Stegostoma tigrinum: one gene and its partners. The protein of the gene in region 1 interacts with the protein of each later gene in a biochemical or structural test. Links are inferred from orthologs where the notes say so. Each region holds a gene or a part of one and is shown on either strand. Other genes may lie near its edges.

What was found.
Region 2: the proteins of microtubule-associated proteins 1A/1B light chain 3C (region 1) and nbr1a form a complex in vitro, tested with the Homo sapiens proteins (2 studies listed by IntAct). The link is inferred for Stegostoma tigrinum from reciprocal best matches to the Homo sapiens genes MAP1LC3C and NBR1.
Region 3: the proteins of microtubule-associated proteins 1A/1B light chain 3C (region 1) and stk3 form a complex in vitro, tested with the Homo sapiens proteins (2 studies listed by BioGRID and IntAct). The link is inferred for Stegostoma tigrinum from reciprocal best matches to the Homo sapiens genes MAP1LC3C and STK3.

What each region holds. Positions count from the first base shown.
Region 1 is NC_081395.1:6,215,072-6,225,333, reverse strand, and holds the start of microtubule-associated proteins 1A/1B light chain 3C, read right to left. Parts: upstream 4,763-10,262; 5' UTR 4,557-4,762; coding exon 4,499-4,556; intron 4,291-4,498; coding exon 4,235-4,290; intron 2,826-4,234; coding exon 2,719-2,825; intron 877-2,718; exon of another isoform or gene 332-876; coding exon 166-331; 3' UTR 1-165.
Region 2 is NC_081384.1:16,098,376-16,108,731, reverse strand, and holds the start of nbr1a (NBR1 autophagy cargo receptor a), read right to left. Parts: upstream 3,808-10,356; 5' UTR 3,671-3,807; coding exon 3,569-3,670; intron 1-3,568. UniProt on the Homo sapiens protein: Ubiquitin-binding autophagy adapter that participates in different processes including host defense or intracellular homeostasis.
Region 3 is NC_081358.1:121,913,418-121,923,693, reverse strand, and holds the start of stk3 (serine/threonine-protein kinase 3), read right to left. Parts: upstream 3,808-10,276; 5' UTR 3,717-3,807; coding exon 3,694-3,716; intron 1-3,693. UniProt on the Homo sapiens protein: Stress-activated, pro-apoptotic kinase which, following caspase-cleavage, enters the nucleus and induces chromatin condensation followed by internucleosomal DNA fragmentation.

The sequences.
Region 1 (10,262 bases):
AGAAAAAGGAGGGACTCGGCCATTTGGTGCTATCTCCCTCCCTCCCCCCAGAGAAGTTCACCTACCCCACACCACACAGACATGAGGAATGGAAGTAACAGCAGGGTGGGGGGGGGGGGGGGGGGGTGAAAATAAAACAAAGTCTGATTTAATTCAGCTTCCCAGTCAGGGGAATCCAAACATTTCCTGCGAGGCATAGGTCATGTAGAGAAAGCCATCCTCCTCCACGTACTCCGCATAGATCTCCGCCATGGTCAGGGACGTACTGGCCAGACTCCGGTCATCCACCATCAGATAGAAGGCTTGGCTCGAGGTGACAGACATTCGACTCCTGAGGGAAACAGATGACTTACTCACGGGTTTGCAAATCAGGACACTTGGTCAGGGAGGCAGTCACCATAAAACAGGCAGACTTAAAGCAAGGGATTATTGATTGCACATTTTGAATGGGGGCAGAGTCACATTGCTTAGTTTGGGTAGACATTCAGAAATAGCACAAGTCTATTCTAAAACAGATCAGTACATGGTTGAACTAGTGGCCTGTAGAACACTGTGGGAGTTTAACAAGCTAATACATTTCATTGTGGCTCAGGAATTAAATTCATTTAGTTTTAATTCTTTGGATTCTAAAATTTAAACAGTTTACTTCAAGAAAAAAAACCAAAGTTGCTAGCTACCATCTAGTATTAAGCTTGACAAAAATATTTCCCCAGCCAGAAAGTCCTGATGTTTGTCTACATGTGGTGCAAAAGTAAAAATTCAAGGAGAGCATTAACTTATGCATTCTGTTTATGTGTTGTAAATAAACTTTAAGCCTGAATGTGTGTAATATTTCTCAGGTAATGATCACAGGAAGGAATAAAGTGATTGCTAATGTGTACTGTACACTTCCATGTGAGATGTTTGATAGGATATTCAGCTACTGAAGTGGACTTGACCAGTTGGATGTTTGAGTGGAGTGACATTCGCTACATGCAAGGCATCACTGTTGGGTTCAGGGTAAAGCATTTCAGACTAGAGCCCATTTGAACCATTTCCTTCATTCAACTTTCATTCTAGAGTTCGAAGTCACCTCATGGGCTGAAAGTTTCCCGTGAATGGAATGAGCCCTGTACAAGACCAACCAAGTGTGATAACTTCACCACAGCATGGCATTCTACTTTGCTAGAAATTAAACCTTCCCAGCTTCAAAAAAACAAGCCACAGGAAAGTGGCAATTCATTGAGCATAGTGAATCAAAAAGGACGTTCCAAACTTCGAATCAATCCCCCTTCCTGCTAAAAGGGGGAAGGGCAGCAGCTGGATGTGAACAAGTTCAGCTCCAAACCCCACTTGAAAATATAATCAGCTGTTCCTGCTTATAACCCCTAGTGTGGAGGCAGGCCCTTCGGCCCACTAAGTTCACTGGAATGCCAACTGAAGCCTCTTTTCACACTGACCCTCAGAGCACCCCACCCAGATCCATCCCCACACTAGTCTACACCTTCTTGAACACCACAGGCCTACCTAGCACAGCCAATCCACCCGAGCCTGCACATCTTTGGACTGTGGGAGGAAACTGGAGGAAACCCACGCAGACACAGGGAGAATGTGCAAACTCCACACAGACAGTCAACGGAGGGTGGAATCGAACCTGGGCCCCTGGTGCTGAGAGTCAGCATGCTGTCCTAATCATCTCACCCACATATCCCTGTAGCTGTGCATTTCACACACTAAAAACAGGACACACTGTGGCAGGGAGATGGGGGGGTGGTGGGAGTTAGAGCTGCATTAGAGATAGGTGGAGATGTTTCAGGGATGCAAGGTTCCTCTGCTGTCAATGGTCAGGACAGCAGACATTGCAATGTAGAAAAAGGATTCAGTTGGAATTCCAGAACACAGGTCAAGGAAAGCTTTGGAGAAGGTTACAGAAAAAAAAAGTGTAGAATTGGGAAGTGGTCTGGGAGGAATTGAAAACAAGTGGAGAATTTCAACATTCAGGTGTTGCCTGATTCAACAGGGGGTGGGGGGGAAGGAAACAGGAAAACAAGACCATTAGCTTGAGAACTAAATTGCCAGAGATTGATGAGACTTAAAGACTGAATTTGGATAATCAAGTCAGTTGGGCATCATCCTGATTAGAGGCAAAATAGGGGCAGGAGTGAGGATTTCAGCAGATGAACTGGGAGACAGGGTGTCCTTAGGGACATCAGGCACTTATCTCAGGGGCCAAGCGTGACACAAAGACTGCAAACAGACCAGATTACTCACGGGCAGCTGGTAAGGAGAGGGATCAGAACCGAAGGCTTCAGTCCCAATAAATCCACATGCCACTAAATAATCCCCATTATCTGTCATCCTCCCAAGCCACCTTATCCACTCCTCTGGGCTCTGTCTCCACCTATCACTTACTCCTCAACCACCCTCCCCCCTTTATCTTATGCATAAAATTTGACCTTTTCCTAGCTACTAGTCCTGAAGAGGTGGTTACCGGACCCAAAACATTAACTGATTTCTCCTCCACAGATGCTGCCAGACCCACTGAGATTTTTCAAGAGGCCAATCAGTCAGTCGCTACAACTCAGCCCCCTCCCCAGTGTCCTAAAGACCATCCAGGGTATTGGGAAGCCCTACACATCTCCCCCTCCCTCAAGCAGGTGCCCACTCTTTCCTCCCCATGACCTCTAATCCTTGGGAGGAGAGCAGTGGTTATGGGAGATTTAACAGGGTCAGCTGTACCTGATAATGATCATGAACTGACATAGGCTGAGTTCCAGAGGTACAAGGTATTTTGACCTGTCCAAATGAGGTAGGGATCGCTCCTTTGGGTATCGTTCCACAATCACCTGAGAGATAGAGATATCAGGATACACACATTCAAAATGCCATGAACAGTCACTAAATGCCAACTCTATCTGCAGGGGCCAAAAATCCCCATTTACTCCCATTCCACCTCCTGTAGGATTAGCCAAATGGATAGGAAAAACTGGAATCCACTACTATTCTGGGGGAAAGAGGTCACTTGACCAGCTTTTCAGTATCCTGGCCACAAGAGCCAGTCAGAAGTTGGGAATCCTGCCATGAGTAACCGATCTCTTGACTCCCCAAAACCTGTCCGTTGCAAGGCAAGGGTGGGATGGAATACTCCCCACTTGCCCCTGGATGGGGGCAGCCCCAACACTCAAGAAACTCAATACCATCCAGGACAAAGCAGCCCCCCAAGTTGGCACTCAGTATTACATACCACCTACAAAAGATGCATTGTAAGATCTCAAAACTCCTTAGATAGCACCTTCCAAACCTATAAGCTCTACCATCTACAGAATCCATCCCCTGTGCATTCCCCTCTGAGCCATGCACCGTCCTGACTTGGGAACAGGAATCCAGCCTCACTGGGACAAAATCCTGGAACACCGTGGAATGATACCGTGAAGGCAGCTCAGCAGCACCTCCTCTGGGCGCATTAAAACACTGTCCCAAACCACATTCGTTACTTGAACTGAAAATGATTCGTTTCAAGGGCAAAAAGTTGGATCAGGTTGTAGGTTTGGAATCGCAAATAATGATGGCAGATTTCCTTCCCTTAAAAGGAAAGGGGGGGCATTAGGTGACCCAAAAGAGGTTTGAAAATCAAGTCATTGTGGCTCTAACTTTAATATGTTCCAGGTTTATTACTGACTCATTCCGTAAGTGGAATTTTGACTAAGTCTCTCCCTGAGGGATCTGTTTATTTCTCAAGGCATTGTACGGAACACCTCAGAAGGTGACAGTTCCCAGTTTCTTTTGGGGGGGCGGGGGTGGTGGTGCTAGAAACAAGGCAAACATTAGCTTTAATAAGTCCTGGAGTTTTTAAATACAAGCAGATTTGGTTATTCACTTGATGTTTAAATTCTAATACCCTGGTGTTGAATAAAAACACAGGAAAGATTGTTATCCGGGAAGAGTATCGTCCTAGTAAATACGCACTTATCCGAGTGTAGCGTGTTCTGGCTGGTGCAAAGTTACATATTAAAAACAAGCAAACGTCATGGCGTTAACAAGTTCTCTGTAGTGAGGACCTAACAGGTTTAGAGTCGTGCACAGAGGGTAGACTTAATCGATTATTCTTTTCACATTTGCAGAAGGGAAGGGATTTAAACTAAGAAAAAGCAAGGAGGATCACATTGCAGCTGTACACCGTTTCCTGGCACACTAACCGCCCCCCCTTCCACCTCTCAACATTTTAAATAACAATAATAAAAGCTTTTTGACTGACCGGTAGCTTGTTGGGGTACTTCCTGCGGATGTTAATTACTTCACTTCTCCTGAAAGCTTAAGCAAAACAAAATAAACAACAAAAAAAACAAACAAACGTGAATAATTTGATTTCTAAACAAAATTCTGAAGTGACTGAAAAGAGAAGCAAGTTTAAACAAAAGGCGTTTAGAACTAGATTTAAAAACAGATTGGAAATAGAGTGGAATTGACGCGTGCATTTCATGATAAGGAAGATTTTCCTAAAAAGAATAAAACCCCTCACCCAAACTACGCCTCTCCTTGAAGGGTCTACAATCCAGGGTCCTCTCTGAGGGAGCCATGCCTTTCTCCAAAAGAAACTTTTCTCCCTTCCCAACAGGGAACAAAAATGCTTTCGTTGCCCCTCCTCAGCCACCAGCCCGCGTGTTTTAACATCCCGTCCAAGCAACCCCAATCTTCACTCTAAATTAACCAGTTAAACAGTCGGGCATCGACAATAAGATTTACTTAAGCCATTAGTTTCTGCTGGAGTATTGTTTCAGGTCGATCAGTCTTGCTTTAAGGGGCGTTTACCAATTAGTCTTGTTTCAAGTAATTAATTTATTTACAAAAACAGAAATGGCTGGAAAAGCTCAGTGGATTTGGCAGAACATAGAAACGATGTTGTGCCGAACTTTCACTCCAAACCTAAGGTCTATCAGACCCCCACCTCTACCTTATACTATCATCCTTATGCCTATCTAATAGCCACTTTAATGCCCCTAATGAGGCCGACTCCACTACCCTCTCCGGCAATGCATTCCACACCCTGACCATTCTCTGAGTAAAGAACCTACCTCTGACGTCTCCCCTATATCTGCCCCCATTCACTTTAAAACCATGCCCCCTCGTAATAGCTACCTCCACCCTCAGAAAAAGTGTCTTGCTGTCCACTCTATCTACACCTCGGATCATTTTGTACACCTCTACCAAGTCACCTCTCATCCTTCGTTGCTCTAAAGAGAAAAGCCCTAGCTCTCTCAGCCTTTCCTCAAAATTCTGAGGAATGGCCACTGGACACGAAATGCTAACTCTGCTTTCTCTACACAGATGCTGCCAGACCTGCTGAGTTTTTCCAGCAATTTCTGTTTCTGACTTCCACACGTCTTACGGTTTTAGTTAATTTGTTACATTTCATTGAAGGTCAACTAGAAGTTCGTTGAAGGATCTGGTGTGATGATGGTGTGGTTTCCTGTAGAATGTGGGGCTCACAGTAGGGAAGCGGCCATTCAGCCTGTCCTGCGAGGAAGATATACCCAAATTGTAGCCCCAGCATCTCCCCTACTCTTTTTACGCAGCACCTGAGCACTGACCCTCCGACAGTGCCCACTCCCTCAGCACTGACCCTCCGACAGTGCCCACTCCCTCAGCACTGACTCTCCGACAGTGCCCGCTCCCTCAGCACAGACCCTCCGACAGTGCAGCACTCCCTCAGCACTGACCCTCCGACAGTGCCCGCTCCCTCAGCACGGACCCTCCAACAGTGCCCGCTCCCTCAGCACTGACTCTCCGACAGTGCGGCGCTCCCTCAGCACGGACCCTCCGACAGTGCAGCACTCCCTCAGCACTGACCCTCTGACAGTGCCCGCTCCCTCAGCACTGACTCTCCGACAGTGCCCCCTCCCTCAGCACTGACCCTCCGACAGTGCCCACTCCCTCAGCACTGACCCTCCGACAGTGCCCACTCCCTCAGCACTGACTCTCCGACAGTGCGGCGCTCCCTCAGCACGGACCCTCCGACAGTGCCCGCTCCCTCAGCACTGACCCTCCGACAGTGCCCGCTCCCTCAGCGCTGACCCTCCGACAGTGCCCGCTCCCTCAGCGCTGATCCTCCGACAGTGCGGCATTCCCTCTGGACAAGGATTGTGAGCCTGGATGAGGAAGCAGAAATTCCCAAGAACTCTCTGTCTGTGAGGTGGGAGTAAGTTAGTCATTTTGGAGAGGAGTGGATTGTGGGGAGTTGTAGTCTATCGCTTCCTACATTTCTTTACCAGTTGTGATTCTGCTTGAATGATGCAGCATCTTGTCACTAACAGCCTAATACTGCTGATAAGATTCTGGTTGCAAAGCTGGGACCTTCCTGTGCAGTTTCCTATAGCCTTGTACTTCCATTCTGCCCCTTCCAATCCAACTGCTGATACCTCCCCGTTCCCAACATAATAACAGGTAGTGAATATTCACCAACACCTTCATTAACACCTCCCACCCCAACTTTAAGTTCACCTGGACCATCTCTAATACCTCTCTCTCCTTCCTGGACCTCCCTGTCTCCATCTCAGGCAACCACCTAGAAACTGATGTCCATTTCAAGCCCACTGACTCCCACGGCTACCTAGAATACACCTCCTCCAACCCACCCTCCTGCAAAAATACTATCCCCTATTCCCAATTCCTTCGCCTCCGCTGCATCTGCTGCCAGGATGAGGCATTCCACTCCCGAACATCTCAGATGTCCTCGTTTTTCAAGGACTGCAACATACCCCCACAGTGGTTGAGAACACCCTCAACCGTGTCTCCCTCATTTCCCACAAGTCATCCCTCACACCCCGTCCCCACAATAACAACCAAAACAGAATCTCCCTCGTCCTCACATACCATCCCACCAACTTCCGGATCCAACGCATCATCCTCCGACACTTCTGCCATCTACAATCCGACCCCACCACCAATGACATTTTTCCATCCCCACCCCTGTCTGCATTCCGAAGGGATCACTCTCTCCATGACTCCCTTGTCCGCTCCACACTCCCCTCCAACCCCACCACAACCCGGCACCTTCCCCTGCAACCGCAGGAAATGCTACACTTGCCCCCACACCTCCTCCCTCACCCCTATCCCAGGCCCCAAGATGACATTCCACATCAAGCAGAGGTTCACCTGCACATCTGCCAATGTGGTATACTGCATCCACTGTACCCGGTGTGGCTCCCTCTACATTGGGGAAACCAAGCGGAGGCTTGGGGACCGCTTTGCAGAACACCTCCGCTCAGTTCGCAACAAACAACTGCACCTCCCAGTCGCAAACCATTTCCACTCCCCCTCCCATTCTCTAGATGACATGTCCATCATGGGCCTCCTGCACTGCCACAATGATGCCACCCGACGGTTGCAGGAACAGCAACTCATATTCCGCCTGGGAACCCTGCAGCCCAATGGTATCAATGTGGACTTCACAAGCTTCAAAATCTCCCCTTCCCCCGCTGCATCCCAAAACCAGCCCAGCTCATTCCCGCCTCCCTAACCTGTTCTTCTTCTCACCTATCCCCTTCTCCCACCTCAAGCTGCACCCCCATTTCCCACCTACTAACCTCATCCCGCCCCCTTGCCCCATCTGTCCTCCCCAGACTGACCTATCCCCTCTCTACCTCCCCATCCATACTCTCCTCTCCACCTATCTTCTCCTCTATCCATCTTCAGTCCATCTCATCCCCTTCCCTATTTATTTCAGAATCCCTTTCCCCTCCCCCATTTCTGATGAAGGGTCTCGACCTGAAACGTCAGCTTTCCTGCTCCTCTGAAGCTGTTTGGCCTGCTGTGTTCATCCAGCTCTACACCGTGTTATCTCAGATTCTGCAGCATCTGCAGCCCCTACTATCTCCTGTGAATATTCTCATCCTCTCAAAGACTGCAGCAGATTGAGGGGAGTGCTGCTCCACCACACCACCCGGTGGCTGCAGCCTGCAACTGCAGTGTGACGGTTTACATAAATAAATCAAACTGTGATGTGCAGATTTTGACAGAGGAGGGAGGTTGTGACACATTAGTAAATACTGTGCTTCTGAGCCAGGAGGCCTAATTTGAAGACTCGTCTGCCCTGGAGCTGAGTCATATCTGGTTTTAAAAAATTATAACGGCATCCCTTGAGAATACACTGCCCAAACAACATGGACAGTCCTCCTACTCAGAATGTTTCCTTTGGCACTAAGCAGTTAACACCTCTCTGTGTGCAGCACAACCTCACCTCTTGGATGGGGACACAAAATAACAATGGGTTAGCAGAAAGGACACCATTCAGCCAGGATCTGATCAAGGGTCCCAACCCAAAACGTCCACTTTCCTGCTCCTCCAATGCTGAATGATTTGCTGTGTTCCTCCAGTTCCTCTGAGACCATTCAGTATCCTACTTTGTGTCTTTCCCACTGTTGTGTGAGCGCCCAGGACTGTTATATCCCCACAGGATACCCTAGGGCAGTGCAGGGCAGCATGGTGGCTCCGTGGTTAGCAGGTACTGCCTCACAGTGCTCTGGGTTCAATTCCAGCTTTGGACACCTGTCTGTGAGGGAGATAGTAGGAGCTGCTGATGCTGGAGAACCTGAGACAACAAGGTGTAGAGCTGGGTGAACACAGCAGGCCGAGGAGCAGGAAAGCTGATGTTTTGGTTCTGGACCCTTCTTCAGAAGCCTGTGAGGGAGTTTTGCACATTCTCCCGTGTGTTTCATCTAAGAGCTTCCACCAGACCAAAGGTGTGCAAGCTAGGGTAGATTAGCTATGCTGTAGTGTGCGCGGTGGGATGCCCTTCAGGGGCCCAGGCTGGGCCAAATGACCGCTACCTGCACTGTAGGCATTCTATGAGTTGGGGATGGGGCCAGTCATAGGAAGAAATGTAGACTATTCAGCCCATCAAGCTTGGCCCAGATCTCTGAATAAAAGGGAAATAAAAGTCTTAAATAAATTTCTCAATAAGGAAATAATTTATCCCAGATTTAAAATTGACAACTGGCTCCCACATCCTCCACTGTTTGGGAAAGAGAGTGTATGTGGTGTGTGGGAGGATGTCACCTCCACACACCCCCAGCCCCAACAAACACAGGGCGGCTCGGTGGCTCAGCGGTTAGCACTGCAGCCTCACAGCGCCAGGGACCCGGGTTCGATTCCAGCCTCAGGCAACTGTCTGTGTGGAGTTTGCACATTCTCCCCGTGTCTGTGCGGATTTCCTCCCACCGCCCAAAGATGTGTGGGTTAGGGTGGATTGGCCGTGCTAAATTGTCCCATAGTGCCCAGGGATGTGCAGGTTAGGGTGGATTGGCCGTGATAAATTGTCCTATAGTGCCCAGGGATGTGCGGGTTAGGGTGGATTGGCCATGCTAAATTGTCCTATAGTGCCCAGGGATGTGCGGGTTAGGGTGGATTGGCCGTGCTAAATTGTCCTATAGTGCCCAGGGATGTGCGGGTTAGGGTGGATTGGCCGTGCTAAATTGTCCTATAGTGCCCAGGGATGTGCGGGTTAGGGTGGATTGGCCATGCTAAATAGTCCTATAGTGCCCAGGGATGTGCGGGTTAGGGTGGATTGGCCGTGCTAAATTGTCCCATAGTGTCCAGGGAGGTGCAGGTTAGGGTGGATTGGCTGTGCTAAATTGTCCCATAGTACCCAGGGATGTGCAGGTTAGGGTGGGATGGCCGTGCTAAATTGTCCCGTAGTGCCCAGGGATGTGTGGGTTAGGGTGTATTGGCCATGCTAAATTGTCCCATAGTGCCCAGGGATGTGTGGGTTAGGGTGGATTGGCCGTGCTAAATTGTCCCATAGTGCCCAGGGATGTGCGGGTTAGGGTGGATTGGCCATGCTAAATTGTCCCATAGTGCCCCGGGATGTGTGGGTTAGGGTGGATTGGCCGTGCTAAATTGTCCCATAGTGCCCAGGGATGTGCGGGTTAGGGTGGGTTGGCCGTGCTAAATTGTCCCATAGTGCCCAGGGATGTGCGGGTTAGGGTGGATTGGCCGTGCTAAATTGTCCCATAGTGCCCAGGGATGTGCGGGTTAGGGTGGGTTGGCCGTGCTAAATTGTCCCATAGTGCCCAGGGATGTGTGGGTTAGGGTGGATTGGCCGTGCTATATTGTCCCATAGTGCCCAGGGATGTGTCGGTTAGGGTGGATTGGCCGTGCTAAATTGCCCCATAGTGCCCAGGGATGTGTGGGTTAGGGTGGGACTGGCCGTGCTAAATTGTCCCATAGTGCCCAGGGATGTGTGGGTTAGGGTGGATTGGCCGTGCTAAACTGTCCCATAGTGTCCA
Region 2 (10,356 bases), on another chromosome or scaffold:
CATTCCCACCTAGCTTTTTGTTCATCTGCAAACTTGGAAATACTTCATTTACCCCCATATCCAAATCAGTGTTTCATATTGTGAACCACTACAGCAACAAACACTGATTTTTGCTGTATACAGTACCAGGCACTGCCTGTCAATGCAGAAATAACTTGTTTATTCTTACTTTCAGTCTTTTGCCTGTTGTCCAACTCTGGATCCACACCAGCACATGACCATGTATTTCCATTTCGCTAACCAGCCTTGTGTGAGAGAATTTATCAAAAACATTCTGAAAATTCAAATATGCTACATTCACGGACTGCCCTTCAACGATTCTGCTTGTAACATTCTTCAAATATATCCTCACAAATCTACGTTATTTATGTCCAAACAAATTATTATCCAAGTGTCCATTTATCACATACTTCATAACAAATTTAAAGGTTAACAAGTCTGTATTTCCCAGTTTTCTCTTTCCCTTCCTTCTAAAACGCAGATAGCAGGGTAACATTGACCGTGTTTCAATTTGAAGGAACCATTCCAGAACCTATAGAATTTGGAACGTGACCAGCAGAGCACCCATATTTGCAATAATTATCTCTTTCAACATTCTGAAATGTGGAACTTTGGGACCCAGGAACTTAACCTTCAAAGCAATTCATTTCTCCAGTCTACTCACTAATACAAATCTTCTTCAATTCTTCATTCTTCTTTTCCCTTGAATTTCTAAGTCAGGGAGATTTATTGCTTTCCTTAGGTGAAGATAAATTATTACGTGGTATCTGACTTCTCTGCCATTTTTCTATTTCCCATTCATGACTCTCTCTGCAGTGGACCAAATTTGTCTTAGCTAATCATTTCCTTGAGATGTAGAAAATACGAGGAGGTCTCTTGGCCCTTGAGGCTGCTCTGCCATTCAATGTAATCATAAATGATTATTCAATGTTTTGACCTGAACCACCTTCTGTAGGAAAGAATTCCAGAGATTCACCTGTCTTTAAGTGTAGAAACCTCCCCACATCTCATTCCTAAATGGCCTACTTCATATCCCAAGACTGTGATACTTGGCCTTCAGGAACATCCTTCCTGGGCAGACCCTATTGAGTCATGTTAGAATTTTATAGGTTTCTAGGAGATACCCCTTCATTCTTCTATAGTCTGACCAATCCAGTCTCTCTTCATATGTCAGTCCTGCCATCCCAGCAGTCAGCTTGGTTAAACCATCACTGCACTCCCTACGGAGCCAAAACGTCCTTCCTTGAAAAAGGAGACTGAAACTGCACACAATAGTCTGGGTGCGATCTCACCAAGACGCTATACAATTGCAACAATACTTTCACTGTAACGTACTTTCACTTATTAGCTATACTTGGGTCACCCTTCCAGTATTATTTTACTGGATTTGGTGAGGGAATGCTTACATATAAAAAAAGATTAACACAAAGAAGACAGTCTTGTATAAAATTTCAGAATCCATTAACACAGGAAGTCATGACAGAAAAAGTACACTGCCAAGGTATTTGGGATATCATCACATGTTACGTGACTCAGTCAAACAGTTTCAACCTGATGTCTACAAATCAGAACCTTCTAAAGCTACAAGCATGATCTGATATCCTGTTTACAGGTTCAATTTAACACCACCCAGAAAAAAAATTAAACTGCATATCTGTTAAGCAGCATAAACATCAGGACATACTGAGATAAATATCATGAGTCAGGGTACATCACATTATAAATAAGTTCTGAATCTGAAATTGTTCTGCTTAGATCAATAGTAACGTCACATCACGGTTTGCCCAATTGAACTAGCTAAACAGAGTTCATGTGAACCCAAGGTGGCAGCAACACACTATAAAGTAAATATTTATATTTGTTATCACATTCTTCATATATAATACTACAGCTAACCAAACTGTTTATTTAAACCAGGAAACCTAGCTGCAAGGACAGAATCACTATTGCAAGGAGTCATTGCTGAACATTTTATTCAAAATACTAAAAAACAACATGGCATGGATAGAGGATTGGTTGACTAATAGAACTCAAAGAGTAGGGGTAAATGGGTGTTTTTCTGGTTGACAGTCAGTGGCTAGTGGTGTGTCTCAGGGATCAGCATTGGGACCACAATTGTTTACAAGTTACATCGATGATTTGGAGTTGAGGATTAAGTGTGGGGTGTCAATATTTGCAGATGACACTAAGATGAGTGGTACAACAAACTGTGCAGAAGACACTGAAAGTCTACAGAGGGATATAGATAGTCTAAGTGAGTGGGCAAAGGTCTGGCAGATGGAGTGCAATGTTGATAAGTGTGAGGTCATCCATTTTGGTAGCAATAATAGCAAAATGGACAATGTTGTAAATGGTAAAAAATTGCAGCATGCTGTCGTGCAGAGGGACCTGGGTGTCCTTGTGCATGAGTCGCTAGAAGTAGGATTGCAGGTGCAAAAGGCAAGTGGAATTTTGGGTGGAGTTTAAAAACAGGGAGGCTATGCTGCAGCCGTATAGGGTCCTGATGAGGCCACACCTAGAGTACCATGTGCAGTTTTAGTCTCCTTACTTGAGAAGATATATACTAGCACTGGAGGGGGGTGCAGAGGAGATTCACTTGGTTGATTCCAGAGTTGAGAGGCTGGCTTATGAGGGGAGACTGAGTAGACTGAAATTATACTCATGCGAATTCAGAAGAATGAGGGGTGATCCTATAGAAACACATAAGATTATGAAGGGAATAGATAAGGTGGAGGCAGGGAGATTGTTTCCACTAGCAATAGAAGGCATCACCTCAAAATAAAGGGAAGCAGATGTAGGACTGAGGTCAGGAGAACTTCTTCACCCAAAGGGTTGTGAATCTGTGAAATTCCCTGCCCAATGAAGCAGTTGAAGCTACCTCGCTGAATGTGTTTTAGGCAAGGCTAGATAAATTTTTGAACAGTAAGGAAATTACGAGTTATGGTGTGCTGGCAGGTAAGTGGAGCTGATCTTGATCTTATTGAATGGGGGGGCAGGCTCGAGGGGCCGAAAGGTCTACTCTGCTACTAGTTCTTACGTAACATAATAGTTTGAGCACATCATCCTATGTCTGCTACGGGAGGGGGCAAAGAGTGTATATGGGGTGGGGTGGGGTGGAGTGGGGAAGGAGTGTAGACTACGCAGATGGGGGTGAAACAGTGTAGACGGGGTGGGGGGGGGGGTTAAGCGGAGGAGTGTAGACGAAGGTTTGGGTGAAGATCGAAGATGCCGGGGGAGTGAAGATGCCAGGGGGTTGGGGGGGGGGGGGGAGATAGAAGTTGCGGGAGTGGGGGGGGTGGGGAGAAATGAAGATGCAAGAGCGGGGGGAGGGAAGTGACAATATCGGGGGAGAGCGGGGGTAGGGGAGAGAGAAGAATAGATGTTGGGTCGGGGACAGAGAACAGTAGATGCGAGGGCTGGGGAGAGACGACAAGTTGCGGTGGGGTGGGGGGGCGGCGCTGACAGGAGAAGAGAGGAGATGCAGACAGGGGGAATTGAAAAGTAGATGTGGGAGCGGGTGTAGAGTTGATTCAGGGCGGGGTTCACCCCCTCCCTACACATCACTAACCATAGCTTCCAGATCCGCCCACGTCGTCTTCTGCGAGTCACACACCAGGAAAGTTTGTGTATCGCCACCAAAGGTCACGTTCAGTTTGATTTGCTCCTCCATACCTCCACGGTGGGTGAGAAGCTGGCGTCCGCCCGATGACAATGATAGTGACAGTGACAGTAATTACTTTCCCCCCCCCTCGGCACCAGAGGCTTCTGTTTACATCAGAGCCCTGCAGTTACCCAGCATCCACTGCGGCCCAGGGTAAACACGGTCGCCCATTGGCAGCTAACCAGTCATCTGACAGGATGTGACGTCATGCATAACGCCTTTGGCCGGGGGATTACACACTATTCGTCAAAACAAATCAGAGACCGGATAAAATGTTGGATGTTGGACCGTCAGATGAAGGATCGTCTAAAACAATAAGTTGGCAGCTAGAATCTGGCGGGTATAAGTTAAAAGCTTGCAGCGTCGTCTTACGTCATTTTTTTAATACAAACGGTGCGCCTATGCGTGCACCGTCATTCCGGTGCGTGTCATGTCCTGTGACATGTGTGAGCGCGGGAGACCCAAAATATGGCGATGCTTCGAGCTGAGGGTAGTGCTTGAGATCACTGTCGCATGCTGCTTCAACTTTTCATTTCGTCCGGTATTTTATCTTTCTCTGATTAAAATGCGTGTGATTTTCTGTGTTTGTAGCAACGGACCCTAGCGGTATGTGTGTTTTTTTGGGAAGACTGGATTCTGGATGAATGGGGAGCGGGGAATGAATAGAACGTACCTTGCGATTCCACAGCGCCTTTGACATCTGCTGTTCCTTCCGAAACGTTTTAGAGTGATCGGTTTACAATGTGACTCCTGTTATAATGCAGAAAGCACAGGAGGTGCCTGAGCTCGGCAGATTCTCAACATAAGATAGTCACCATATCAGAGATAATGGGAACTGCAGATGCTGGAGAATTCCAAGATATTAAACTGTGAGGCTGGATGAACACAGCAGGCCAAGCAGCATCAAAAGCTGACGTTTCGGGCCTAGACCCTTCATCAGAGAGGGGGATGGGGAGAGGAAACTGGAATAAATAGGGAGAGAGGGGGAGGCGGACCGAAGATGGAGAGTAAAGAAGATAGGTGGAGAGAGTATAGGTGGGGAGGTAGGGAGGGGATAGGTCAGTCCAGGGAAGACGGACAGGTCAAGGAGTAGGGATGAGGTTAGTAGGTAGATGGGGGTGCGGCTTGGGGTGGGAGGAAGGGATGGGTGCGAGGAAGAACCGCTTAGGGAGGCAGAGACAGGTTGGACTGGTTTTGGGATGCATTGGTTGCGGGGGGAGGGGGAAGAGCTGGGCTGGTTGTGTGGTGCAGTGGGGGGAGGGGACGAACTGGGCTGGTTTTTAGGGATGCAGTAGGGGAAGGGGAGATTGTGAAACTGGTGAAGTCCACATTGATACCATATGGCTGCAGGGTTCCCAGGCAGAATATGAGTTGCTGTTCCTGCAACCTTCGGGTGGCATCATTGTGGCAGTGCAGGAGGCCCATGATGGACATGTCATCTAGAGAATGGGAGGGGGAGTGGAAATGGTTTGCGACTGGGAGGTGCAGTTGTTTGTTGCGAACTGAGCGGAGGTGTTCTGCAAAGCGGTCTCCAAGCCTCCGCTTGGTTTCCCCAATGTAGAGGAAGCCGCACCGGGTACAGTGGATGCAGTATACCACATTGGCAGATGTGCAGGTGAACCTCTGCTTAATGTGGAATGTCATCTTGGGGCCTGGGATAGGGGTGAGGGAGGAGGTGTGGGGGCAAGTGTAGCAAAGTGTGGAGCTGGATGAACACAGACCAAGTTGCAGCTTAGGAGCACAAAAGTTGACGTTTTGGGCCTAGACCCTTCATCAGAGGTTTTCTGATGAAGGGTCTCGGCCCGAAACGTCAGCTTTTGTGCTCCTAAGCTGCTGCTTGGTCTGCTGTGTTCATCCAGCTCCACACTTTGTTATTCCAAAGCTTAATTTATTTGTGCTGCTGTCTTTGTGATTGGACTTGAAATATGACGAGCCAAAAAAGTAGTAGTAATATGATAGCTGAATTTGTGTTTTGTCACTATTAATTAGTAATAGGAAGGACAGACACTGAGAATGAGTATGTTTCTTATTCCCTGGTTTTGAAGTCAAAGCAAGTGGAATTAAGTTTTTTTTATAACTATGGGTGCTATTTGTGAGAAGGTGGCAGTGTTAGAATGGAAAAAAAAACTTCAATCCATAGTCAATGAAATGCTTAAATCATATACACTTGGCACAATGGATTAATATATAGTTGTACTGTTAACAAGTTTGTGTGTTCCTGCATTTTACCACAGGACTGAGACCTTGAGAAATAAAAGTTGAATTGTGTAAAGCTGATTGCAAATCTGTGGAAGTAAGAGCAAAAACAAAACATTGTCGATGTTAATTTCAGATTTCCAACAATCCTGGAAAGACTCAGCAGGTCAGACAGCATTTGAAAAGGGAGAAACAGTTAAAGTTTCAAGTTAAGAACTTTTTGTTCGGATCAAGAGGTTACAATACTATAACAAAATTTTAAATAAACACAGGGAATAATAGTTGTTCAGGTTTCATTCCGATTCAGACTGGAGTAATCTTGAGATCCATCTCCTTGCTCTGCCCCTGAGAAAGTCTGCCATTGACACCCTATGAGGCAAAACCAAAATGCTCAGGATGATACTTCAGCTTATAATGAGCTGGGAGGGAGAAAGAAGGGGAATGTATGATCGTGTCTAAACGAACTAACAGGGATGATTATACAAGACAAAAAGTGATGGTGGTAGGGTAGCAAGATCAGAAGTCAAAAACAGTGGATGCGTGAGAGCTGAAATTGGCAGCATCAGGACCTGAAACAAAAATGGAAACGGTGATAATGACTGACCGTAAAATGTTAAAGCCAGTTTTAATTTTAAAAAGCTAATGATGAAATCTAAGATTTTTTTCATACATTCACATGATTGGGGCAGCACTAGTTCTTTATTGCCTTAAGGTGATGTGAGCTGCTTGCTTCAAACTTAGCCATTTGAAAGTATAGGAACACCCACAGTCCTGTCAGGAAGGATGTTCCAGGATTTTCACCTAGTAACAGCGAAGAAATCTCAAGTCAGAATGGTGTGTGGTGGGAACTTGCAAGTTGTGGTGTTTCATGGTGCACTGCTTCTTATGAGCACCACTCTGTTCTTTGCTCTCAGCATATGTGCTTGGGTCACAAATAGTTGTGACTATGCTAAATAATTCAATTCTGAGAAAGGGTCACTGGACCTGAAATGTTAACTCTGATTTTTCCTTCACAGATGCTGCCAGACCTGCTGAGCTTTTCTAGCAATTTCTAGATTTACATAGGATATCTGGGTGGCATGGATGAGTTGGACCAAAGGGTTTGTTTCTGTGCTGTACATCTCTGACTATTTCCACCCCCTGCTTTCTTTCCTTCAGGGTTTCAGAGATAATTCCAGTTCAAGAACACCTTCCTTGGATCTGATCATTCTCATCAAACTGGTCTTGTGCTGGGGAAAGCTAGAGTTTATTCATGAGCTGTTTAAGACAGATTTAAGGGCAGACCAAGAGCTGTGGGCATTTTTGTGGTTCCTGTTCATTGATTGTAGAATCCCTACAGTATGGAAACAGGCCATTCGGTCCAATGAGCCCACACCGCCCCTCTGAAGAACATCCCATCCAGACACATTCCCCTACCCCTACATTTCCCTTGTCGAACCCATCTAATCTAAACATCCCTGGACACTCTGGGCGATTTAGCATGCCCAATCCGCCTAGCCTGCACTTCTTTGGACTGTGGGAGGACACTGGAGCACCCAGAGGAAACCCACGCAGACACAGGGAGAATGTGCAGACTCTGCACAGTCACCTGAGGCTGGAATCAAACCCGGGTCCCTGGCACTGAGCCACTGCGCCATTCATGGAATATCATCTGATTGGCTTATGTTACTGCTGCAGTTCTTGGGTGAGGCTGATGGAGATAGCAAATTGTATTAGCCAATGATTAGTCCAGCAGTTGCAGATCCTGGCATGTCACGAGTGATGTGAACACCTCATGGTCCCTCAAGAGTAATAGCATGTGCTCAATTTTGTTCCTAAGGCAAGTGTGCTGCCATGAGGTCTTGAATTTATCTCTGTGACAAAAATAAATACTTGTTATAACCAGATTCTGCCCTGGCCAATTCCATCAGGAGGGCAATTCATTGACGGTTGCCTTCTTTGCCAGTCACCTGCTTTTTAAGAGATTTGTGTGTGGTAATGTAAACTGTGTAATTTGTGTATTTCAGTACCTTTTATGTTAGTTTGGCATATGGGGTTTTGAAATCTGTAGTTTAATGATGAGCTTTTAAGTGTTTCTGTAGCCAAGAGAGAGTTCTTGTGATCTAATTGAAGTTTATCACTGGGAGCAAAGTAAACAGTGTATGTTAAGCAGTTCAAATGTCTGTTTATTTGTTTGGTTTTTCTCCCCTCTTTTTTGATAGGGATGCTATCTGTAGCTTAAAGTTTTCGGGTTTCAGTTTGTCAGGTTTGCACAAGTCTAGCATGAAGCTAGATGTGTAAATCAGTTGCTCCTATAAAAAGGAGTTAACACTATTTAACAATTGTAATTGGTTTCAGTATAAAGAGTAATTTTCCAGGTTTCCAGACCAGAAGTGTTTGGTTAAAATCTTCAAGGAATTATGTGAAGCTGAAGAAGTCTAAGCTTAGTTGTGTGAAGAAACTGAGACCCAGGACAGGGAATTGATATCATAGCTAGGTCAAATCCTCAGTGGGAAAAAGAAAGCCATTGTCTCAGCTGTTTGAATATTGTAAAGAAATGTCATCAGGCTTTATGGGGTCACATTTTATCATGCGTTTCAAAATCTTTGTTATATGTAAATGGATGGTTTCTTCTATTTTATACTTTCTTTTGCCTAATACAGTTCTGCTTTATTGTTAAAAACATAAATCTGCAGCATTTGCCTGTTTTTGCTTTAACTGAAACAGCATTGCACTAAAACAAAAAGTCAAGCCAGACTTTAATCTAGAATTTGACTTGCCCAGCAAAATCATCCACTCAGATAATAACACCTATTCCTCGCAAATGCAGCACTGAATTTGAGGAGAATCATCATCTCTCTCTTTGAGACACAGGGCAAGACTGAGGCTGGAGTAGAATGCTACGTTGGCCTTGATTATTGTTCTTCAGCTTGTGGCCTATGCACTGCACTCTAAGTAAGAATGAGCCAAAGAATCCCAACAATTAAGGAGAGTCGGGGGGGCATTACAAAAGAGAAAGTGCTAGAAAAGCTAAAAGGTCTAAAAATTGATAAATCTCCTGGCCCCGATGGGCTACATCCTCGAGTTCTGAGGGAGGTGGCTGAGGAAATAGTGGAGGTGTTGGTTGTGATCTTTCAAAAGTCACTGGAGTCTGGGAAATTGCTGTTGTAACCCCCTTGCTTAAGAAAGGATCAAGACAAAAGATGAAAATTATAGGCCAATTAGCCTAACCACCTTTTTTGTTTTTCATTCAATTGCATTTAATTTAATCTGTGCCAACTCAAATTTCATCAGTCAACTAGCAATTGAAACTTGGTCACTTTCACTGAGAAGTTGACATAAGAAAGATATCCTCTTAGATAAAAACAGAAAGGCAGATGCTGTCAACCAGCAACAAAAGCAGAAGTTACTGCAAAAATTCAACAGGCCTGGCAGCATCTGTGAAGTAAAATCAGTTAATGTTTCAGATCTGGTGACCTATTCTGAGGAAGCATCACCGAACCCGAAAAATTAACTGATTTTTCTTCACAGACGCTGCCAGACCTGCTGAGCTTTTTCAGCAACTTCTGTTTTTATACCCTCCTACATAACCTAAAACATTCCTTACACAAAAGTGGTAGTGGAAAATACACAGTTAAAGAAGGTGCTTTTATTTTGTTCAGGTGGTATAGATAAGATGTCTTATCTGACAAACAGGGTAGAAACTGGATGATGCAGGCTATCAGGTATTTATACAACCCTCCTCTCCCATTTGTCATGCCAGTCCAGATAATGTAACTTCTCAGAACCTAGCTTCTTCTGGGTGGCTGTTTTTGTTACTAGACTCCTGTAGCTAGCAATGGCAATTTTTCTCTTTTTTTTTTCTAATGCACTGAGCTATTCACCTCGCATTTTAATACCACATCGAAATGCTTGATAACAAAACAAATCTTGAGTCATCCCACTGCCACTTTCAGAACAAACCCAGAATGAAACTTTAAAACCATGTCCCTTCCTCGTTGTGTATGTTGATGAAGTAACCCCCCACCTAAAAACTCCAAGCTTGTGCAGCATCTGCAAGATATATGCCAGAAGTGTGGTAAATGCTTCCCACTTGTTTGGATGGGTGCAGTTGTAGCATCATATCCACAAACATTTATTCTGTCTATCAATGATGCTCAGTAGCAGTAGTGTATGGGATCCACAAGATGCACTGTAGAAATTCACCAAGGCTGCTCAGCATCTTCCAAAGTTATGACCACGACCAACTGGAAGGAGCAGAGCAGCAGACACTTGGAAGCCCCATCATCTGACTTGGAAATGTATCACTGTTCCTGATGTGGACTGCAATGCTTTGAGAAAACGGCTCATTGTCACCAATGGCAACCAGAGGTGGACAGTAATACAGACCCCAGCCGGCAGCACCCATATCAATACATAAATTTTCAAAAAGTTAAAGCAGTACATCATTCCTTCATGTGAGAATCCAAGCTTTGAACCAAAATTAACTTTATTGTGAACCTCCCGCCACATCTCCTTCC
Region 3 (10,276 bases), on another chromosome or scaffold:
TACTGAGCTGAACAACCTGCAATATCACCCACACCAATTTAGTGATAAAATGTAAAAAATAGAAAAATGCACTCAACCTGAAAATTATGGCAATACAATTTTACGCAAAAATGCACTAGTTGAAGTAGCAGTTGGAGACACTTAATTAAGGACATCTAGAACAGATTTACAAAAGGCAAAGGTAAGATTCTTAGCAGTGTAGATGAGCAGAGAGATCTCGGTGTTCATGTACACAGATCCTTGAAAGTTGCCACCCAGGTTGACAGGGCTGTTAAGAAGGCGTACAGTGTTTTAGCTTTTATTAATAGAGGGATCGAGTTCCAGAACCAAGAGGTTATGGAGAAGCTGTACAAAACTCTGGTGCGGCCGCACTTCGAGTATTGCGTACAGTTCTGGTCACCGCATTAGAAGAAGGATGTGGAAGCTTTGGAAAGGGTGCAGAGGAGATTTACTAGGATGTTGCCTCGTATGGAGGGAAGGTCTTACGAGGAAAGGCTCAGGGACTTGAGGCTGTTTTCATTAGAGAGAAGAAGGTTGAGAGGTGACTTAATTGAGACATATAAAATAATCAGAGGGTTGGATAGGGTGGATAAGGAGATCCTTTTTCCTAGGATGGTGACAGCGAGCACGAGGGGGAATAGCTTTAAATTGAGGGGTGAAAGATATAGGACAGATGTCAGAGGTAGTTTCTTTACTCAGAGAGTAGTAAGGGAATGGAACGCTTTGCCTGCAACGGTAGTAGATTCGCCAACTTTAGGTACATTTAAGTCGTCATTGGACAAGCATATGGACGTGCATGGAATAGTGTACGTTAGATGGGCTTCAGATTGGTATGACAGGTCGGCACAACATCGAAGGCCGAAGGGCCTGTACTGTGCTGTAATGTTCTATGTTCTATGTTTGATCAATCTAATAATTTTTTGATGCAATACCAGAGAAAAGTTTTGAAGGGAAAGTAGCAGATATTGCTCATACAGATTTAAAGTACTGAGAAAATACGATGTCAGAAACTGATTAATAAAATAAAGATTCGTGGAGCAGGCGAGTCAGTGTCAGTTTGGTTAAATATTGTTTAAGGTAGTCATGGTAAAAAATCATTTTTCAGACTGAAGGACAAATGAATGAGGTGGTAAATAATGAGGAGGATTGCCCTAGATTATAGGAGAATAAGGATAGGCTGTTAGCAGCAATTTGAACTCAATAAAAGGATGGTGATAGAGATAATAGGAACTGCAGATGCTGGAGAATCTGAGATAACAAGGAGTGGCGCTGGATGAACACAGCAGGCCAAGCAGCATCTTAGGAGCAGGAACGCTGATGTTTCAGGAGGGTCTATGCTGCGTGGCATGCTGTGCTCATTCAGCTCCACACCTTGTTATCAAAGGATGTTAATAGTTCAGATTAAGTGATCTCACATGAGAATCACTTAATGTGAACTATCAACATCCTTTCCCCACCCCACCCCCAAACTACTGCAAAAATTTTGCCCCATCGACATTTCACTTCAGGTCTGAAGAGTCACCTTGACTCAAAACATTAGCATGCTTTCTGTCCATGAATGCTGCCTGTCCCACTGTGATCGCCAGCATTTTTTTGTTATGAAGGGAAGGACCTTGTGTAGTACCAAGGATCAGTGGGAACTTGTTGTTCTTATCCACCAGGACGGTTATGTTGAAACGGCATAGACCATACTGTGCAATTTTGGAATTCCCATTTAACAAAGGCTATGTTTGGACTGGAGAGGCTGCAAAGGAGGTTTTTTACAATGTTATCTGGATTGGAAAGTTTTAGTTATGAGTAGAGATTGAATAGACTGGGTGAGTTTTCCTCAGAGTAGAGGAAACAGAAGGGGGTCATGATTGAGATGCATAAAATTATGAGAGACATAGATAAGGTAGAAAAGGAACATTTCCCCTTGGTGGAGGGATCAAAGATGGGGCCTTGGGTATAAGGTAACTCCAGAAGGAGATGGGAATCTGGAACACAGCTTGTAACTGTGTAGAAATCCTCATAACGTTTAAGAAGTACTTACATTAGTGAGGCAATGGCCTAGTAGTATTATTGCTAGACTTTTAGGATAAGGTAGGTCCTACAAAACCAAAATACAGATTTAACATCTGCTTCGAAGGGCCTGTACTGTTCTATTCTCTGGGAACCAATGATTTTCAGGAAAACAATCTAAATTTTAAGTGAGGACTTAATACCCAAATTTACTTCTGATAGAAAACTAGGTGATGATAAGTTGTCAGGATGACCAAAACAGGCTGCAAAGAGATGCCAACAGCTTGGATGGGCAACAAAAGCAGCTGGAACATTATGTGGCAAAGTTTGAGGTTATTCATTTTGGTCAGAGTAGAAAGGCAGAATATTTTTATTAAGCATCAGACTGGTAAATGTTGATATTCACCTGTACTCAGGTATCCTCATACAAGGAACACAGAGGATGCATATACATCAGGCAATTAGGAAGGCAAATGGTACACTGGCCTTTATTGCTAGGAAATTGCATATGGAAGTCTTGTTACAATTGTACTATGTAGAGCTTTGGCAAGACTGTACAAAGTATAGTACAGTTTTGATTTCCATGTCTAAGAAAGAAGTAAAGAAGATTCAAATAGGTTAATTTTTAGGATGGGAAAGCTGTATTCTGCCAAGAGGCTAAGCAACTTGGGACAATCTGCAGTTTCAGTAGAATGGAGAAGTTACCTCCTGGAAACATACAAGATTTTGCAGGGGCTTGGCAGGGTAAACTCAAGAGGTCTTTTGGGGAATTTAGAACACAGCAGCAGCAGCAGTTGAGGAGATCACACACACACAGCTATTTTCTACCCAAGGAAGTTCAGGATATGAATTGATTATATTCAAGGCTGGACTATTTAAATGTTTGATCCTCAAGAGAGAAAAGGTTAGGGCAAGGAGCATGGAATTGAGGTAGAAGATGCATTGCTGATGAAGGGTCTAGGCCTGAAACATCAGCTTTCCTGCTCCTAAGACGCTGCTTGGCCTGCAGTGTTCATCCAGCTCAACACCTTGTTATCACCAAATCACCAAGAGCAGGTTCTAATCATTAGTATCAGATTTTTAATTTCTAGAACTCTTTCCTTCCCCCCCCGCCCCCAAGGAAAACAGTGTCATTGACAAATCTTCAAAAAAAGGTGCACTGTGGTCTGTGACATCTTGGGGACCTGAACTACTGCACAACAAATTTACTCTTTCTTTTCCCAAAGAAATGTAATGACAGTGTGTTGCAAAGCATTACAACATCGTAAAGTTATCCCCGGCGATAAGGGAAATCAAAAAGAGAAATTCAGGATCAACTCCAGTACTAGAAATCAGGAACATAATCTCCCCGAATTAACTTCCTCCCAAATATTCATGTTTTTAAAGCTCCCCTCGACACCATTTCACCAAGACCAGAAACAAAACAATTTTAAAAACAAGCCTACAATGATAGTCACTTCTAGTTGGAAAACAACAAGCAGTATTTAAAAACACTGGAACTTCGATGCCCTTCTGAACTGACTTCGGGAACAACACGTACAAACATAAACTGAGTGAGTAGAGAGAAGAAAAAACTCTGTAAAAGTTTCATCTTCTTCCTGTAAACAACCACTGCATTTAATGCATCAAACGACCCGCCTCTGCCTCTACCCCCACCGCCCCCTCGACGTCTCCGAAAGGGGTTGTCACTACCTTCTGGGCGCCGACGGCTCCATCACTACGGTGACGCCTTTTAAACGTGCGACGGTTACAGTTTCAAACCGCCATGCTCGACTCGCCTGACGTCACTGCACGCGCCTCTCTCCCCCTCCCCTCCCCTCCCCTCCCCACCCCACCCCAAACCTTCCTCCTCCAAAACGGCAGCTGGTGACACCGGCGCCGTCCTCCTCCGCCCTCAGCCCGCCTCCTCGACCATCCCATTGGTCGGAACGCTATCGTGCCAGAAGTGCCGTCTGTGTGGCAGCGTCGAACTGTCAATCAGTTTGGGCAGTCACGATTCTCTGGTCACAGACTGTTCTTCCTCCTGCGCAGCCGCGACTAATCACGGTGGAGTCTAAGAGTCTTTGATGTCGTAGCTCGTAGCTGGCGGAGTCCTTGATTCCGTTTTAAACCGTTTGGTTATTTGAAGGGCACATATTAACGAGAAATCACATGGAAACAAATGCCCGTAACTTCAGTCATCGGGTGGTTTAACGAACTAGCTCTGACTGGCTTTATTCTGGGAGATGTCATCACGTTACCACTCTCCGCAGCTGGCCGTGCCCACCCAGATTGACCAACATGTCCATCTTCGGTGAGCAAAATAAAATCCTGAACAACTGCGGATGTTATAAATCAGAAACAAAAAACAGAAGTTGCTGGAAAAGCTCAGTGGGTCCAGCAGCATCTGTGAAGAGAAAGAAGAATTAACTTTTCGGATCCGGTGACCCTTCCTCAACTGATGGTAGCCAGGAAAATGTTGGTTTATATGCAGAAGATAGAGTGGGGGCAGAGCGTAAGGAGTAAACCATAGATGCGTATAGAGCCCGAAGAGAGAGGACAGTTGGACAAACAAAGGAGTGGATAACAATCTGGCTAGAAGGGTGAATAGCTTCTAACGGCTAACAATAGCTAGCGCACAATGGCAGACTATGTGGTAACAAGGCCTGCTTTGTGCGGTGAGGGGCGAGGACCTGGGGAAGTTCAGGCCCTGAAATTATTGAACTCTATATTGAGTCTGGAGGGCTTCAACATCCCCAAGTGGAAATTGAGGTGTTGTTATTCCAGCTTGCTCTGAGCTTCGCTGGAATGCTGCAGCAAGCCTGAGATGGAGATGTTAGCCAGGGAACAGTGATGTATTAAAGTGGCAGGCAACTGGAAGCTCAGGGTGACTTTTGCAGGCAGAACATAGATATTCTGTGAAGTGGCTGCCCAACCTACGCTTTGGGGAGACCACATTGTGAGCAACGAATGCAGTAGACTAGATTGAGTGAGAGAAGAGGTAAATGGGCAGACGTTACACCCATGGCGGTTGCAGGGGACGGTGCTGTTGTGAGTGAAGGAAGAGTGCACCAGGGTGTCTCGGAGAGAACAGCTCCTGCGGTAGGTGGACAAGGGAGGAGAGAGGAGGGGAATCTGTGTTTGGTGGTAGCATCTTGCTGGAGATGGCAGAAATGATGGATGATGATCTTCTGGATTTGAATGCTGATGGGATGGTAGGTAAGGACAAGGGGTACCCTATTGTTGTTCGGTGGGAGAAAAAAGCAGGTGTGAGGGAAGAAGTGCAGGAGCTGGTTCAGATCTGGTTGGGGGCCCTGTTGATAACGGTGCTGGGGAATCCTCAGTTGAGGAAGAAGGTTGACATTTCAGAGGCTCCCTGTGCAAGTTGGCCTCATCAGAACATGTGCGATGGAGATAGAGGAACAGGGAGAATAGAATGGAGTCTTTACACGAAGCAAGGTGTGAGGGTGTGTAGTCCAGGTAGCTGTGGGATTCAGTGGGTTTTCAGTGGATATTAATTGTCAAGTTATCCCCAGAAATGGAACTAAAGATATCAAGAAAGGGAGGAGTCAGAGATAGACCAGATGAAAGTGAGGGCAGGGTAAAAAATTAGAAACTTTTCCAATTCCAGATGAGAGAGGGAAGCAGCACCAACAATATCAATATATCAGAGAAAGAGTTGTGGGAGGGGTCTGGAGAGGATTGGAAGAAGGAATATCCCCCATTAAGAGACATTTATAATTGGGACCCATGACCACTTTTCTGACCTGAAGAAAATGAGAGGAATTAAAAGAGAAGTTGTTGAGAGTGAGGAGAGTCTCAACCAAGTGGAGGAGGCTGGTGGTGGGTGGAGATGCCTCAGGCCTTTGCTCCAGGAAGAAGTTGAAGACCCCTGAGAACATCCTAGTGGAGGATGGGGGTGTAAAGTTTACATGCATCTATGGTAAAAAGGAGGCGGCTGGAGTGTACAAACTGGAAATTCCAAAACTAGCATAAAGCATCAGAGGAATCATGGATATATATATGGGTAGGGACTAGACTCAGGGGAGAAAAGACTGAGTCAAGGTGGGAATAGATAGCTTTGTGGGGCAAGAGCAGGCCGAAACAATGGGTCAGCCCTGTTTGTGGATTTTTGGAAGAAGGTGGAAGCAAGCTGTGCAGCGTTGGCGGGCTATTAGCTTGGAGGCAGTGGGGAGGAGATCACCAGATGAAATGAGGTCTGTGACCATAGTTGATACAATGGCCTGATGTTCCATGTTGGGGGTCATGGTCCAGAGGAAGATAGGAGGAGGTATTTGACCCTCTGCAATGTAGAGGTCAGTGCACCAAACTACAACAGCACCCCCCTTAATAACAAAGTCAGGGTTGGATCTGAGCACAAAGAGTGCAGTCAGTTCAGAGGAGATAGGTTGGATTGGTTAAGGGAGGGGGCAGAGAAATTGACATCGACAATTCTCAGTGAACAGATCAAGTGCAGGTAAAAGGCCAGAAGGAGGGGTCCGGGTGGAGGGAGAGTGTTCGAGCTGGATGAAGGGGTCTGTGGGATGGGGAGAGGACTCTTGTCCAAAAAATGGCACAAAGGCAAAGATGGCAGAAGAAGAGTTGGATTTCATGTCATGCCTGAAGCTCATTAAGTGGGTCGCAGAGGGATAAAGCTGACACCTTTGCTGAGCACAGAATGTTTGAAGGTTGGGAGAGGTGGTGAATGCCCGACAGGTGGTCGGGTTTGAGGAAGAAATGGAGTCAGAGGGAAGGGGAGGAAAGGAAGGTTTCAGAGGGTCATGGGTATCTCTGAGCTGTTGCATCTCGTGAGCATTGATGCCTGAAAGGAAAAAAACACATTTCTTGTTCTGATGAGGCCAACTTCGACAAGGGAGCCTCCAAAATGTCCATCTTTTTCCTTTAATATATAGTATAAGGATTGCCTAGCACCATTGTCAACAGGGTCCTCAACCGGGTCCGACTCATCCCCCACACTTCTGCCCTCTCCCCCTTTCTTCCCTCCCACAACAGTGATAGGTTCCCTTTGTCCATACCTACCATCCCACCAGAATTCACATCCAGAAGATCAGCCACCATTCCTGCCACCTCCTACAAGATGCTACCACTAGATGCATATTCCCCTCCCTTGTCTGCCTACCACAGGGACTGTTCCCTCTGGGACATCCTAGTCCACTCTTCCTTCACTCTCAACACCACCCAACGGCCCCACGGCACCTTCCCTTGCAACCACCTTATGTGTAACACCTGCCCACTTACCTCCTCACTTCTCAGTATCTAAGGTCCCAAACACAACTTCCAGATTGTGCAGCAACTCACCTGCACTTCACACAATCTAGTCTGCTGCATTAGTTGCTTACAGTGTGGTCTCCTCCAAAGACTGGGTGACCACCTCATGGAGCATCTGTGTTCTGCCAGCAAACATGATCCTGATCTTCCAGTTTCCTGCCACTTTAACACACCACCTTGTTCCCTGGCTAACATCATTTAAAGGAAGGCTCACCGGACCCAACACATTAACTCTGATTTTTTCTCCACAGATGCTGCCAGACCTGCTGAGCTATTCCAGCAACTTCTGTTTTTGTTCTGATTTACAGCATCCGCAGTTCTTTCGGTTTTTATTTCTGTCGCAGGGCTGCTGTAGAGTTCCAGCAAAGCTCAGTGCAAACTAGAAGAAGTATACCTCATTTTCCACTTCGGGACCCTGAAGCCCTCCAGACCAAATATCAACTTCAATAATTTTAGGGCCTGAACTGTCTCATGTCCTAGCCCTCTACCCCAGACACCAGGCCTTGTATTACATAATCACACTATCACACACTATTGTTAGCCATTAACAGTTTCCATTAACAGCTATTCGCCCTCCTAGCCAGATTGTATCTCCTCCGTTATCCAACTGCTCTTCTCTCTCTTTGGGCTCTATCCAAACCTTTCGTTTACTCCTTCCCCTTCCCCCCAACCTATCTTCTGCATATAAACCAATATTTTGCTACCTACCATCAGTTCTGAGCAAGGATCACTGAACCAGAAATATTAAATCTGATTTCTCTTCACAGATGCTGCCAAACCTGCTGAGCTTTTCTAGCAACTTCTGTTTTTGCATGATCAGGGAGTCTGGCTTTCCCAATCGAAAAGAGGGTATGATTCTGAAATCAAGTTGTTCAGAGATGTTATAACAAAAATCTGGCGTAGGTGGAACTTTAACCCAGGCTTCCTGGCTCAGAGGCAGCAATATCAACACTGCACAACGAGAGTCCCTCACACTTCTATTTATTAATTCAGTATTGGAAATGGGGTGACCAGTTGTTTGAATGAATTGATTAATGCAAAGGTTGTTGTGCTGTAGTGTTGAAGGGTCTCTCTGATGAAAGGTCTAGGCCCGAAACGTCAACTTTTGTGCTCCTGAGATGCTGCTTGGCTTGCTGTGTTCATCCAGCTTCATACTTTGTTATCTTGGATTCTCCAGCATCTGCAGTTCCCATTATCTCTGTGCTGTAGTGGTAATGTCCCTGCCTCAGAGATAGAATACTTGGTTCAAGCCCCACCTGCTCCGGAGGTGTGTTATAACACATCTGAACAAGTTGATTACAAGTATCAAAATAAGAGTATTAAAATAATTTATTTCAACAAGATTTTTTTATGTTCCCTTCAATGACAGCAATGCCCACATCCTATGAATGAATTTTTTAAAAAATCAAATGATATACTGTAGGGGTCAAGATCCCACTGCTGGATCATGTGTCATTGCCGTGAAAAGGCTGCCAAGATCATCAAAGGCCCATTCCATCTTGGTAATGCTCTCTTACAAACTCTTCTATCAGGTAGAAGATACAGGAACATGAACAACTGCACCAGCAGGTTCAAGAATAGCTTCTTCCCAACTGTTATTAGACTGATGAATGGATTCTAATTTTGAATAATGCTGTTCTTGTTAATGTTTATCATGCCTCGTGCACTTCCTGTGCAGTGTAACATGTATTCCCGACTCTGTCCAGGTTTTGTTTTTCACTCACTGATCTGTATATTCGTGCTTGCTCCGATCTGCCTGTACTGCTCACAGTCAAAGCTTTTCACTGTACTTAGGTACACATGACAATAAATCAAATCAAATCAATGAAGGAAGAGATGATATAAACACTCAGTTTACTGATGACACAAAAATAGGTAGGTTGTAAAATAAGTAAGTTGTGAAGAGGATTTAAGTGGCTACAAAAAGATACTGATAAGTAGGTTAGCAAAGATCTGACAAATGTAATACATTGTGCAGAAATGTAAAATTGTTCGTATTGCTGGAAGAATGACAAAGAGACAAGTTATTTAAATAGTGAAAGATTGCAGGGTTTACAGGTTCACAATAATCGGGATTCCTAGTGCATGAATCATAAAAGGTTAGTGAGCAGGTACACAAGTAATTAGGAAAGCTAATGGGGTGTTGTAATTTATTCTGAGGGGAATGGAATACAAAAGTAGGAAGATTATGCTTCAATTATACAAGACACATGTAAGACCCGTATCTAAAGTACCATATACAGTATCGGACATCCTACTGAAGTAAGGATGTAAATATATTAGAATACGTTCAGAGGCTCACTGTAGTAAATGTCTAGAATGGGTGGATTATGAGGAAGGTTGTGATCAGAGATAATAGGAACTGCAGATGCTGGAGAATCCAAGATAACAAAGTGTGGAGCTGGCTTGGCGTGCTGTGTTCCACCAGCTCCACACTTTGTTATGACGAAGATTGGACAGGTTAGGCTTCTAGTCACTGGAGTTCAGAATACTAACAGGAAATTTGATTAAAACCTGTAAAATCCTTGGCTTGGGGGGGGAAGAAGTTCCTCATGGGAGAATCTAGAATTAAGGGTCAACAATCTTTGGAACTTGCTTCCTTAAAACGCATGGAGGCAGATTCTTTTAATATTTTTAAGATAGAGGTGGATAGATTGATGATAAGCAAGAAGGTAAAAGGTTAAGAATGGGATAGGTGGCAATGTGAATTTGAGCTTCATCTAGATCAGCCATGATCTTATTAAATGGGGGAACAGGATAGTGAGGCTGAAAGTCCTACTCATGCTCTTTGTTTTTTTGTTCACAGACCATATCTAGTACTTACCACTAATTATAATACAGAACATAAAATTACACAAGTTAGAGGCAAAATTAGATTATTTAGCCTTCGACCTTGCCCTGCCATTCAATGATGACCCATTATTTCAATTCCCCATCCCCACATTATCCCCATATTGCTTCATTCTTTTAGTATCCATAAATCTATTGATTTTTGTCTTAAATATAT